Linked DNA regions of Xenopus tropicalis. The protein of the gene in region 3 binds, or shares a complex with, the protein of the main gene of each other region. Links are inferred from orthologs where the notes say so. Each region holds a gene or a part of one and is shown on either strand. Other genes may lie near its edges. The genes, in order: crnkl1, cwc15 and ppil2.

Evidence for each region.
Region 1: ppil2 (region 3) and crnkl1 share a complex: the UniProt entries of both Homo sapiens proteins name them as parts of the minor spliceosome. The link is inferred for Xenopus tropicalis from reciprocal best matches to the Homo sapiens genes PPIL2 and CRNKL1.
Region 2: ppil2 (region 3) and cwc15 share a complex: the UniProt entries of both Homo sapiens proteins name them as parts of the minor spliceosome. The link is inferred for Xenopus tropicalis from reciprocal best matches to the Homo sapiens genes PPIL2 and CWC15.

What each region holds. Positions count from the first base shown.
Region 1 is NC_030681.2:36,926,185-36,930,608, reverse strand, and holds the start of crnkl1 (crooked neck-like protein 1), read right to left. Parts: upstream 2,951-4,424; 5' UTR 2,922-2,950; coding exon 2,874-2,921; intron 614-2,873; coding exon 461-613; intron 1-460. UniProt on the Homo sapiens protein: Involved in pre-mRNA splicing process. As a component of the minor spliceosome, involved in the splicing of U12-type introns in pre-mRNAs.
Region 2 is NC_030678.2:164,525,007-164,527,906, forward strand, and holds the end of cwc15 (protein CWC15 homolog), read right to left. Parts: intron 960-2,900; coding exon 830-959; 3' UTR 655-829; downstream 1-654. UniProt on the Homo sapiens protein: Involved in pre-mRNA splicing as component of the spliceosome. Component of the PRP19-CDC5L complex that forms an integral part of the spliceosome and is required for activating pre-mRNA splicing.
Region 3 is NC_030677.2:154,131,861-154,135,519, forward strand, and holds part of ppil2 (peptidyl-prolyl cis-trans isomerase-like 2), read right to left. Parts: intron 3,333-3,659; coding exon 3,172-3,332; intron 2,906-3,171; coding exon 2,830-2,905; intron 2,492-2,829; coding exon 2,385-2,491; intron 1-2,384. UniProt on the Homo sapiens protein: Has a ubiquitin-protein ligase activity acting as an E3 ubiquitin protein ligase or as an ubiquitin-ubiquitin ligase promoting elongation of ubiquitin chains on substrates.

The DNA.
Region 1 (4,424 bases), on a different chromosome or scaffold from region 3:
GAGATAATTATATCCTGTATTTATTGAATTGAGACATCAATTCATTTATGAATGAGACATCATCATGGACACAGGCAGCAGTGAATATCTCAATAATATCCTTAAAAAAAACATTTAGATTACTCTCTGGAAGTTCCGATAGTGTTCATGCATTGTTTTCTAAATTTTTCTGTATGTAATCATGTAAAAAATGTTAACAAAATGTATTTTTATACAACTTTTAGAATCATATCCCCAAAACCTTACTTGCAGCAGGCATCTGTACATTTCCTGCATTTCAGCATTTTGCACTGTAGGATGCCAGCCAATCTGCAGCTCAGCAATCATAACACAGAACTACAGATTAAACATAAACTTCCATGCTGCAGAGAGGACCTGACAGCATCTGTATAAAATGCACCCTACTGCTGCAAATGCTGTCCCATGGTAAATGAGTTTTAGCCACGGCTGAAAGCATTACCTTCCTTTTCCTTAGTTTGTAATCATTAAGCTCTTCCTCATCTGTGATCTTCTGTTTAGGAGGTGGAGGCAGAAGCTCAAGTTCCCTCTCTTTGGCCTCTCTCAGCAGCTGCTCGGCTGTAATCTGCACCTCTGCCGGCGCTTTGTTTTTAACCTTCAGTGGAACAAGAACACAAAGTCAGTTAGGGAAAAAGGAATATTTCTGGTAGAATAGCAGGTTGACTGTTGGAACGCAAGATGCTAGTTCCAGTTCAGAAACAGGTGCACATTTGTGGGTTCAGCCTTGATACCAACATTTCAGAAGACAAATGTGAGGGGGCTACAAGGATGGCACAGCTATGAATGAGGGGGCTACAAGGATGGCACAGCTATGAATGAGGGGGCTACAAGGATGGCACATCTATGAATGAGGGGGCTACACGGATGGCACATCTATGAATGAGGGGGCTACAAGGATGGCACAGCTATGAATGAGGGGGCTACAAGGATGGCACAGCTATGAATGAGGGGGGCTACAAGGATGGCACAGCTATGAATGAGGGGGGCTACAAGGATGGCACAGCTATGAATGAGGGGGGCTACAAGGATGGCACAGCTATGAATGAGGGGGCTACAAGGATGGCACAGCTATGAATGAGGGGGGCTACAAGGATGGCACAGCTATGAATGAGGGGGGCTACAAGGATGGCACAGCTATGAATGAGGGGGGCTACAAGGATGGCACAGCTATGAATGAGGGGGGCTACAAGGATGGCACAGCTATGAATGAGGGGGGCTACAAGGATGGCACAGCTATGAATGAGGGGGGCTACAAGGATGGCACAGCTATGAATGAGGGGGGCTACAAGGATGGCACAGCTATGAATGAGGGGGGCTACAAGGATGGCACAGCTATGAATGAGGGGGGCTACAAGGATGGCACAGCTATGAATGAGGGGGGCTACAAGGATGGCACAGCTATGAATGAGGGGGGCTACAAGGATGGCACAGCTATGAATGAGGGGGGCTACAAGGATGGCACAGCTATGAATGAGGGGGGCTACAAGGATGGCACAGCTATGAATGAGGGGGGCTACAAGGATGGCACAGCTATGAATGAGGGGGGCTACAAGGATGGCACAGCTATGAATGAGGGGGGCTACAAGGATGGCACAGCTATGAATGAGGGGGGCTACAAGGATGGCACAGCTATGAATGAGGGGGGCTACAAGGATGGCACAGCTATGAATGAGGGGGAGGGCCTAGGGGGCTACAAGGATGGCACAGCTATGAATGAGGGGGGCTACAAGGATGGCACAGCTATGAATGAGGGGGGCTACAAGGATGGCACAGCTATGAATGAGGGGGGCTACAAGGATGGCACAGCTATGAATGAGGGGGGCTACAAGGATGGCACAGCTATGAATGAGGGGGGCTACAAGGATGGCACAGCTATGAATGAGGGGGGCTACAAGGATGGCACAGCTATGAATGAGGGGGGCTACAAGGATGGCACAGCTATGAATGAGGGGGGCTACAAGGATGGCACAGCTATGAATGAGGGGGGCTACAAGGATGGCACAGCTATGAATGAGGGGGGCTACAAGGATGGCACAGCTATGAATGAGGGGGGCTACAAGGATGGCACAGCTATGAATGAGGGGGCTACAAGGATGGCACAGCTATGAATGAGGGGGGCTACAAGGATGGCACAGCTATGAATGAGGGGGGCTACAAGGATGGCACAGCTATGAATGAGGGGGGCTACAAGGATGGCAGCTATGAGGGGGGCTACAAGGATGGCACAGCTATGAATGAGGGGGGCTACAAGGATGGCACAGCTATGAATGAGGGGGCTACAAGGATGGCACAGCTATGAATGAGGGGGCTACAAGGATGGCACAGCTATGAATGAGGGGGCTACAAGGATGGCACAGCTATGAATGAGGGGGCTACAAGGATGGCACAGCTATGAATGAGGGGGCTACAAGGATGGCACAGCTATGAATGAGGGGGCTACAAGGATGGCACAGCTATGAATGAGGGGGCTACAAGGATGGCACAGCTATGAATGAGGGGGGCTACAAGGATGGCACAGCTATGAATGAGGGGGCTACAATGATGGCACAGCTATGAATGAGGGGGCTACAATGATGGCACAGCTATGAATGAGGGGGCTACAAGGATGGCACAGCTATGAATGAGGGGGCTACAAGGATGGCACAGCTATGAATGAGGGGGCTACAAGGATGGCACAGCTATGAATGAGGGGGCTACAAGGATGGCACAGCTATGAATACTAATTCTCCTGGGTTCTACTCGCTACCCATCAACCACAGCGTTCGTATTATCGCTAAATGTAAGACAACTCCATCAGCAAGTCATACAAACCCCCGTACAGACCTTCTGCTAAGAATCTATCCCAACTTTATTACCTTGGCCACTTTTGGAATTCGCTGCTTCCCCGCCGCTGTGGACGCCATGTTTCCTCACGTCTGCAACACAACCTGACAGGAAACACCAAGACGGGGCGTAATGACGTAGCGTTGGTTTTACGTGCTACGTAATAGTCTCCGTAGGACTTTTGCTGGTTTCGGTGACCGCCCCTGATGAATGTCACGCCCAGTCCCGTGTCCATAGCAACCGAGTATCGCGTCCTGATCCTGAGCGAATGCCTTACAGCTGCTGCCTGCACAAGTGACCGAACCCACTGAGCTTCCTGACAGGTAACAGGGAAGCTGCATATCGTGCTGTATAACCTTGGATTTAGCATGAATAGTGAAAATAACATGTATGGGTCTGGAACCCACAGCCGGCCTTGCGTGACCACTGTGCGCCGCTAAGCATTGGGCAAAGAGCCCCTCGGCGCTAACTGCTGATTGGGTGCTAGGGTTTCTGCACTGGCGCAAAGTTCAGCACCAACTAGTATGTTAGTAAATGAACACTATCTGTAAATGCTGATATTAATTATTTATGCATTGTGTCCGCCTGTTCTGTCTTTGTTATTGAAAATGGAACCTGCACATATTATGAACATTTGCCTTTGAGTAAATACAGTTTAGCCCAATGAAACACGTTAAGGTTCTGGAACTCTCTACAATTTGATATACTTTTCTGTTATAGTCTTTTAAAATACACTTTGACGTGTTCTGGGGTGCTGACTCCTAAGGGCTTTCATTATTTGTATTATTTCACCTGCACCTTCATGATCTGAGAGCCAAGACCTTACCTGAGCAGACATTAGCTTGTGTGCTATGGATCATGAGTTAAGTATATTGAAATGTGCATTTAAAGAAAGGGTACTAGGGAGGACCAAAACGTCACGTTGGCTGTATATGTACATTTAAATATACTTTTTTGATTTGCACAGAAATCCCAGTGTTGCTGGTCTTTTTTGTATGTGTTATGTTTTTACCATGCACCTGGGTATATAATTAAAGCCATGTGCCACCCCTCTGGTAATATATATATATATATATATAATAGAAAGAATGCCACACACACAGGGGTTTGATGCAAAAGAAAAAAATGTTTTTATTGAAAAAATTCCATATATATATATGGAAACAGGAGCTGCCGGCAGTCACATTTAAGGAAGCTTGTTATGCCTGGATGCAGTCTTCAAGTAGTAGCGAATAAGGGAAAATTGGAAGCCACTCATGCAGGTCTTAAGCTGGCCATACACGTGGCGATCTAACGATGTTTCGTGCGACACATCGTCAGATCCGCCACACACAGTCAGGGCTGAAACAGCAGATAAGGAGGTAGAAACAATAGGATTTCTACCTCCTTCTGCCGATTCAGCCCTGACGGCAGATTTTGGTCAGGCGCCTTCTATGGCGCCCGATCAAAATTTTCTAACCTGGCCGATCGGCGAGTCGTCTGATATCAGCAGCTTCCTGCGATATCGGTCGACTCGCCGACATGCCATACACGCACCGAATATCGTACGAAACAAGGTTTCGTACGATAGTATCGGTGCGTGT
Region 2 (2,900 bases), on a different chromosome or scaffold from region 3:
ATGATTTGCCTTCTTCTTCGGACTCTTTCCAACTTTCAAATGGGGGTCACTGACCCTACAGCCAATAACTATTGCTCTGTGAGGCTACAGTTTTATTGTTATTGTTCCTTTATATAGCTTTTATTTCTATTCAGTCCCTCTCCTAGTCATATAGCAGTCTCTCATTCGAGCCACTCCCTGGTTGCTAAGCTAATTTGGACCCTAGCAACCAGGTAGCTGTTACAACTCCAAACTGGAGCGCGTTCCTGAACAATGATTGAAATAATGAAAAAACTACAAATAATAAAATATGAAGACCAATTGTAAATTGTCAAAGAATATTACTCTCTACATCATACTAAAAGTTAACTCAAAGGTGAACAACCCCTTTATAGCACAGTGCATGCAAACCAACTAACCTGCTCCGTGGGGTGCTACCCTGCTAACATGCAAGACTAGTGGCGTATACAACAATCTTCAGCACGTGAGTGGGCAATTGCATGGGATGCTCTAATATAAGTGGGATTAGGGTGCTGGGAATGCAAAGGGGCCACAGCAGAATACATAATCACTGAAACCCACTGTAACTAATGCCAACCTGTTCCTGGCAGAGCGGTGCTTTTATCCAACATTCAGAACCAAAACAGAAGAAACAGAACTACGGAAACATAGAAGTAGAAAACAAATGGAATTTATTTATTGATGAGCACACAAAGACAAGCAATTAAGAAGCGTGATGTCGCTGAGCACGATGAGGCGGGTGCTGCGCAACTCAGCGCAAAGACATGGCCTTCTAAAGTCCGACAGCCATTAAAGGAACCACCTCCAGAATGGAGCACATAAAACTGTACTACTTGATGTATTTTTCCATAAACTTTTTGTGGAATTCAGAACGTAAAGTGTCATTCACAAATCTCTTGTCCTTTTTCATTTCATCGACTCCCTTGGCGCAGTTCTTAAATACAACGTCGTCGTCCCACCTGAGACAGAAGGGAGACCCATGTTAGTGCCGTTTGTAAGCAGGAATATTTAAGGAGAACTGACACTCAACTAATGAGGCTCAATATGCTTGGCTTGTGTTGCACTCAAAGCACCCACAGCCCTTTAGCAGGGAAGGTCTGTGCCCCCAAAGATGCCCCATTACCCCCCCATCTCCTTTTCTGCTGATTCCCTCCCCACACTCTGTGCTGCTGTCACTTACCTGAGCTTAGGGGCCCACTCGCACTATATACTGTATATATAGAGTATAAATGTCACACTACACTGTATATATAGAATATAAATGTCACGCTACACGGTATATATGGAATATAAATGTCACGCTATCCTGTATATATAGACTATAAATGTCACACTATACTGTATATATAGACTATAAATGTCACGCTATACTGTATATATAGACTATAAATGGCACGCTATACTGTATATATAGACTATAAATGTCACGCTATACTGTATATATAGACTATAAATGGCACGCTACACTGTATATATAGACTATAAATGTCACGCTATACTGTATATATAGACTATAAATGTCACACTATACTGTATATATAGACTATAAATGTCACGCTATACTGTATATATAGACTATAAATGGCACGCTATACTGTATATATAGACTATAAATGGCACGCTACACTGTATATATAGACTATAAATGTCACGCTATACTGTATATATAGACTATAAATGTCACACTATACTGTATATATAGACTATAAATGTCACGCTATACTGTATATATAGACTATAAATGGCACGCTATACTGTATATATAGACTATAAATGGCACGCTATACTGTATATATAGACTATAAATGGCACGCTATACTGTATATATAGACTATAAATGGCACGCTATACTGTATATATAGAGTATAAATGGCACACTATACTGTATATATAGAGTATAAATGGCACACTATACTGTATATATAGAGTATAAATGGCACACTATACTGTATATATAGAGTATAAATGGCACACTATACTGTATATATAGAATATAAATGTCACACTATACTGTATATATAGAATATAAATGGCACACTATACTGTATATATAGAATATAAATGGCACGCTACACTGTATATATAGAATATAAATGTCACACTATACTGTATATATAGAATATAAATGTCACACTATACTGTATATATAGAGTATAACGGTCACACTATACTGTATATATATATATATATATATATATATATATAGAATATAAATGTCACACTATACTGTATATACAGAGTATAAATGTCACACTATACTGTATATACAGAGTATAAATGTCACACTATACTGTATATATAGAATATAAATGTCACACTATACTGTATATATAGAATATAAATGTCACACTATACTGTATATATAGAATATAAATGTCACACTATACTGTATATATAGAATATAAATGTCACACTATACTGTATATATAGAATATAAATGTCACACTATACTGTATATATAGAATATAAATGTCACACTATACTGTATATATATATATATATATATATATATATATATACAGAATATAAATGTCACACTATACTGTATATACAGAGTATAAATGTCACACTATACTGTATATATAGAATATAAATGTCACACTATACTGTATATATAGAATAAAAATGTCACACTATACTGTATATATAGACTATAAATGGCACACTATACTGTATATATAGACTATAAATGGCACGCTATACTGTATATATAGACTATAAATGGCACGCTATACTGTATATATAGACTATAAATGTCACGCTATACTGTATATATAGACTATAAATGGCACGCTACACTGTATATATAGACTATAAATGTCACGCTATACTGTATATATAGAATATAAATGTCACACTATACTGTATATATAGACTATAAATGTCACGCTATACTGTAT
Region 3 (3,659 bases):
TTATCCCACATAAAGGATGTAAATGTGTTGATTTTGCAGGAGCTGAAATGATAGATCATATGGGGGTATGTTCCCATTCGGGCCCCTACATGCCACATACTTGGGTAAACCTATACATATTGGGCATCAAACTGTTCAGTGGACCCCTGGTGTTCAAATTCAGGGTGTTTTATCTTGGTACCTAATGCTATGTGGGAGATAAGATGCTGCAAAGTGGAAGCTTTGAGGGGATTTTTGGAAATGTCATCAAAATTGCTAACTTTAGAAAAGCTGTGCGGCTTGGTACTTTGGAGTAGAAAGACATGGGTACCCATTTTAGATTCGGGGGAATGTGTACTTTCCAAAAATATATGACTTTCTGGGGTGAGCATACTTTTTACTTGCTTTATCCCACATATAATGATGTAAATGTGTTGATTTTGCAGAAGCTGAAATGACAGAAATGACAGTTCATATGGGGGTATGTTCACATTGGGGCCCCTACATGCCACATACTTAGGTAAACCTATACATATTGGGCATCAAACTGTTCAGTGGACCCCTGGCGTTCAAATTCAGGGTGTTTTATCTTGGTACCTAATGCTATGTGGGAGATAAGATGCTTCAAAGTGGAAGCTTTGAGGGGATTTTTGGAAATGTCATCAAAATTGCTAACTTTAGAAAAGCTGTGCGGCTTGGTACTTTGGAGTAGAAAGACATGGGTACCCATTTTAGATTCGGGGGAATGTGTACTTTCCAAAAATATATGACTTTCTGGGGTGAGCATACTTTTTACTAGCTTTATCCCACATATAATGATGTAAATGTGTTGATTTTGCAGAAGCTGAAATGACAGAAATGACAGTTCATATGGGGTATGTTCACATTGGGGCCCCTACATGCCACATACTTAGGTAAACCTATACATATTGGGCATCAAACTGTTCAGTGGACCCCAGGCATTCATATTTAGGGTGTTTTATTTGGTTACTTTATGACCTGTAGGAGATAAGATACTATAGACTGGAAGCTTTGAAGCAATTTTTAAAAAAAAAATCACAAATTTTGATAAAAACCAATAACTTTAGGAAAGCATTGCGACTTGATAGTTTGGAGTAGACAGACAGTTGTGCCTATTCTGTATTCCCCAGAATCTGTTCTTTCCAAAAATGTACAATTTTCTGGGATAAACCTTCTGTTAGTGGAATTTTGGCCTTGAAATCCAAAGTATGCAGTTTTTTTGGAGCAGTGCTTTGGGAATTTGGTAGTGTACTGCTGGGAGTTTTTGACCTATACAAGTGAGAAATCTCCATAAAACTATATATATTTGGTATTGGCACGTTCAGGAGACATGGGACTTTCCAAATCAGTTGTATATTTGTGCATAAAATAATTTTTGTTTCTAGTATGTGTGATTATATTATGGAAAATTTGATTTTTTTTGCATTTTTAGACATTTAGAAGCCTATATCTTGTTACAGAATTGGAATTACACAAAAATTCTACCATATTTTGAAAGCTTAGGTTGTTCTGAAAAAAACGATATATTGTTTTCCTTGGTAAACTAAAAGTCCCCCCGAGGAAAGGCCCCTAAAGTGAAACAGTGCAAAATGTTCAAAAACTGTCTGGCAATACAAGTTCCGCTTTGACCAAAATGGCTGGCAGTAAAAGGGTTAAAGGAAAAAAAAAACCTACCGACAACAGCAAAGTGAAGGGACCTTTCAAAGTAAGATATCCCTAATTTAAAGGAGCACTGCCCAAGCTTTCAGTTTATGGCACATATATGTATATTGCAAAGTCCTTTAGCAACACAACCTTGCTTGTCAGTGCCTTGCACTGCTTGGAGACCCTACTGCACCATGGGGAGATTTTAGTCTCTTAATGTATTATAGTGAAGAACAAGATACCTCTATATTTTTGTTGTTGTGAAAACTGTTCTGCATAAAAGCCTGGAATGTCCCAGCAGCCTCAAGGAAACTGGCTGCTCACAAGCAGTTTATCATTTATTGATATAGCGCCAGCAAGTTACCAAAGGCTTTATACTGATTTATAATGCACAGGGATCTTACAGTCATTTAATAAACATGGGTTACAGAGTAAAAAAAAAAAAAAAAAAAAATCAGAGGGCCCATCCTATCTTGTGCTACACCCAATAAATGGCTACTGACAACTTACACCCAACAGTTTTTTTTTTTAATGATCTTTTTGAACTTTATTTATACTAAATTCCAATTAATTTCCACTAATTTAATATGGCATATAAAGAAATTACAGGTTTTGATCGCCATTTTTAGTATTCTGTTTTACATATAAAGAAAAAAAAGAAAAAACATACTTTTTATGAATCTTTGTCATTTAAGTAACATATAAGTAACACTGGAGGCAAGACAGCAATTTTGAATTACCTTGTCACAATACAACTCCAAGTTGAGGTCACCTTTATTAGTGTGCAAGCGAACATAACCTTTCTTCTTTACATATTGATAACGCACGGTGTCTTCAGCAATAGCAGCTGTAAGAATGAAGTAATTTTAATTATTATTGGTACAGACCTGGGTACACCAAGAGATCTGTGTATGATCTGTGAGCCAATTTTAGTGTTTTGTGATATAGACTCAAGCACGACTTCACCCCATACAATTATATTTCTTGTACCAACACCCCCACAAAGAATGTCCTCTGCTTTCCTCTACTCCCTGAGGATATGCCTATTTACTATGGCTTAACATCTGCCAATCAATCAGAATGCTCTGCACATTCATCTTTATTCAGAGTCCAGTTTGTATCTGCCAACTATTTTCCTGATAAAGTATACTACAATACACACACAATAAATCTGTGACATCTTACCAGCTTCATGAGTAGTCTCAGGAGTCATTGCTGTGGAGGTGAAGGATGCACTCACAGCTCCCGTAGAATAATGAGCCTGGTAAAAAAGATGAATCATTTAGATTACAAAGGGTCTGTTATCAACTGTTGTTATCCAACCACCTACACTAATATTAAGACATTCCTTAGCTGCTCAAAATATTACAATAGAAATGATATAAATGCTAAGTGGTTAGTTGAGAAACAGCTTGGAGTCAGAGAACTGAGTGAGCAAAGACAGTCTAAAACAGTGACAGAAAGCACACCCTGCAGGAATATGTAGGGAAAAAAAAGAGATAAACTGATAGATAAATGTATACACACTGCATTGAGTTTATCTGTTGTTTTTTTCTCCGGGCCTTTCATAGTGGCTGCCAACATTTCATCCCCTTTAAAGTCTCTGTAAAGCTCACTCAGAGTTTCCCGAGTTTCCATGTTTGCATTTTTCAGGTAATATGATGGGTCCTGACGTGCCTTTTCCTCATCTGAAAAACAACAAGTAAATTTACAAAGATATCTTTTTGACTGAATACATTTTTACTTCTTACGTGCATGCTGGACCAGTTTTAAACAAGAAATTGCTGTTCACAGCGACCATTGAGAAACACAGAGGATACGAGTCCTTGCATATCCTTATATTCATATAAGTAATAAAAACTAGCATCTGGATAAAGTGTGTGTCTGTAAATATATATTTAAAAAAAATAAATTTGTATGAATAGTAAACTAACAATTTTTGAAAATTCCATGTACTAATCATTTGTTACATGTAGCAGTTCTTCATTCTGGAAGGTAAAAGCTGGGGCTGACTA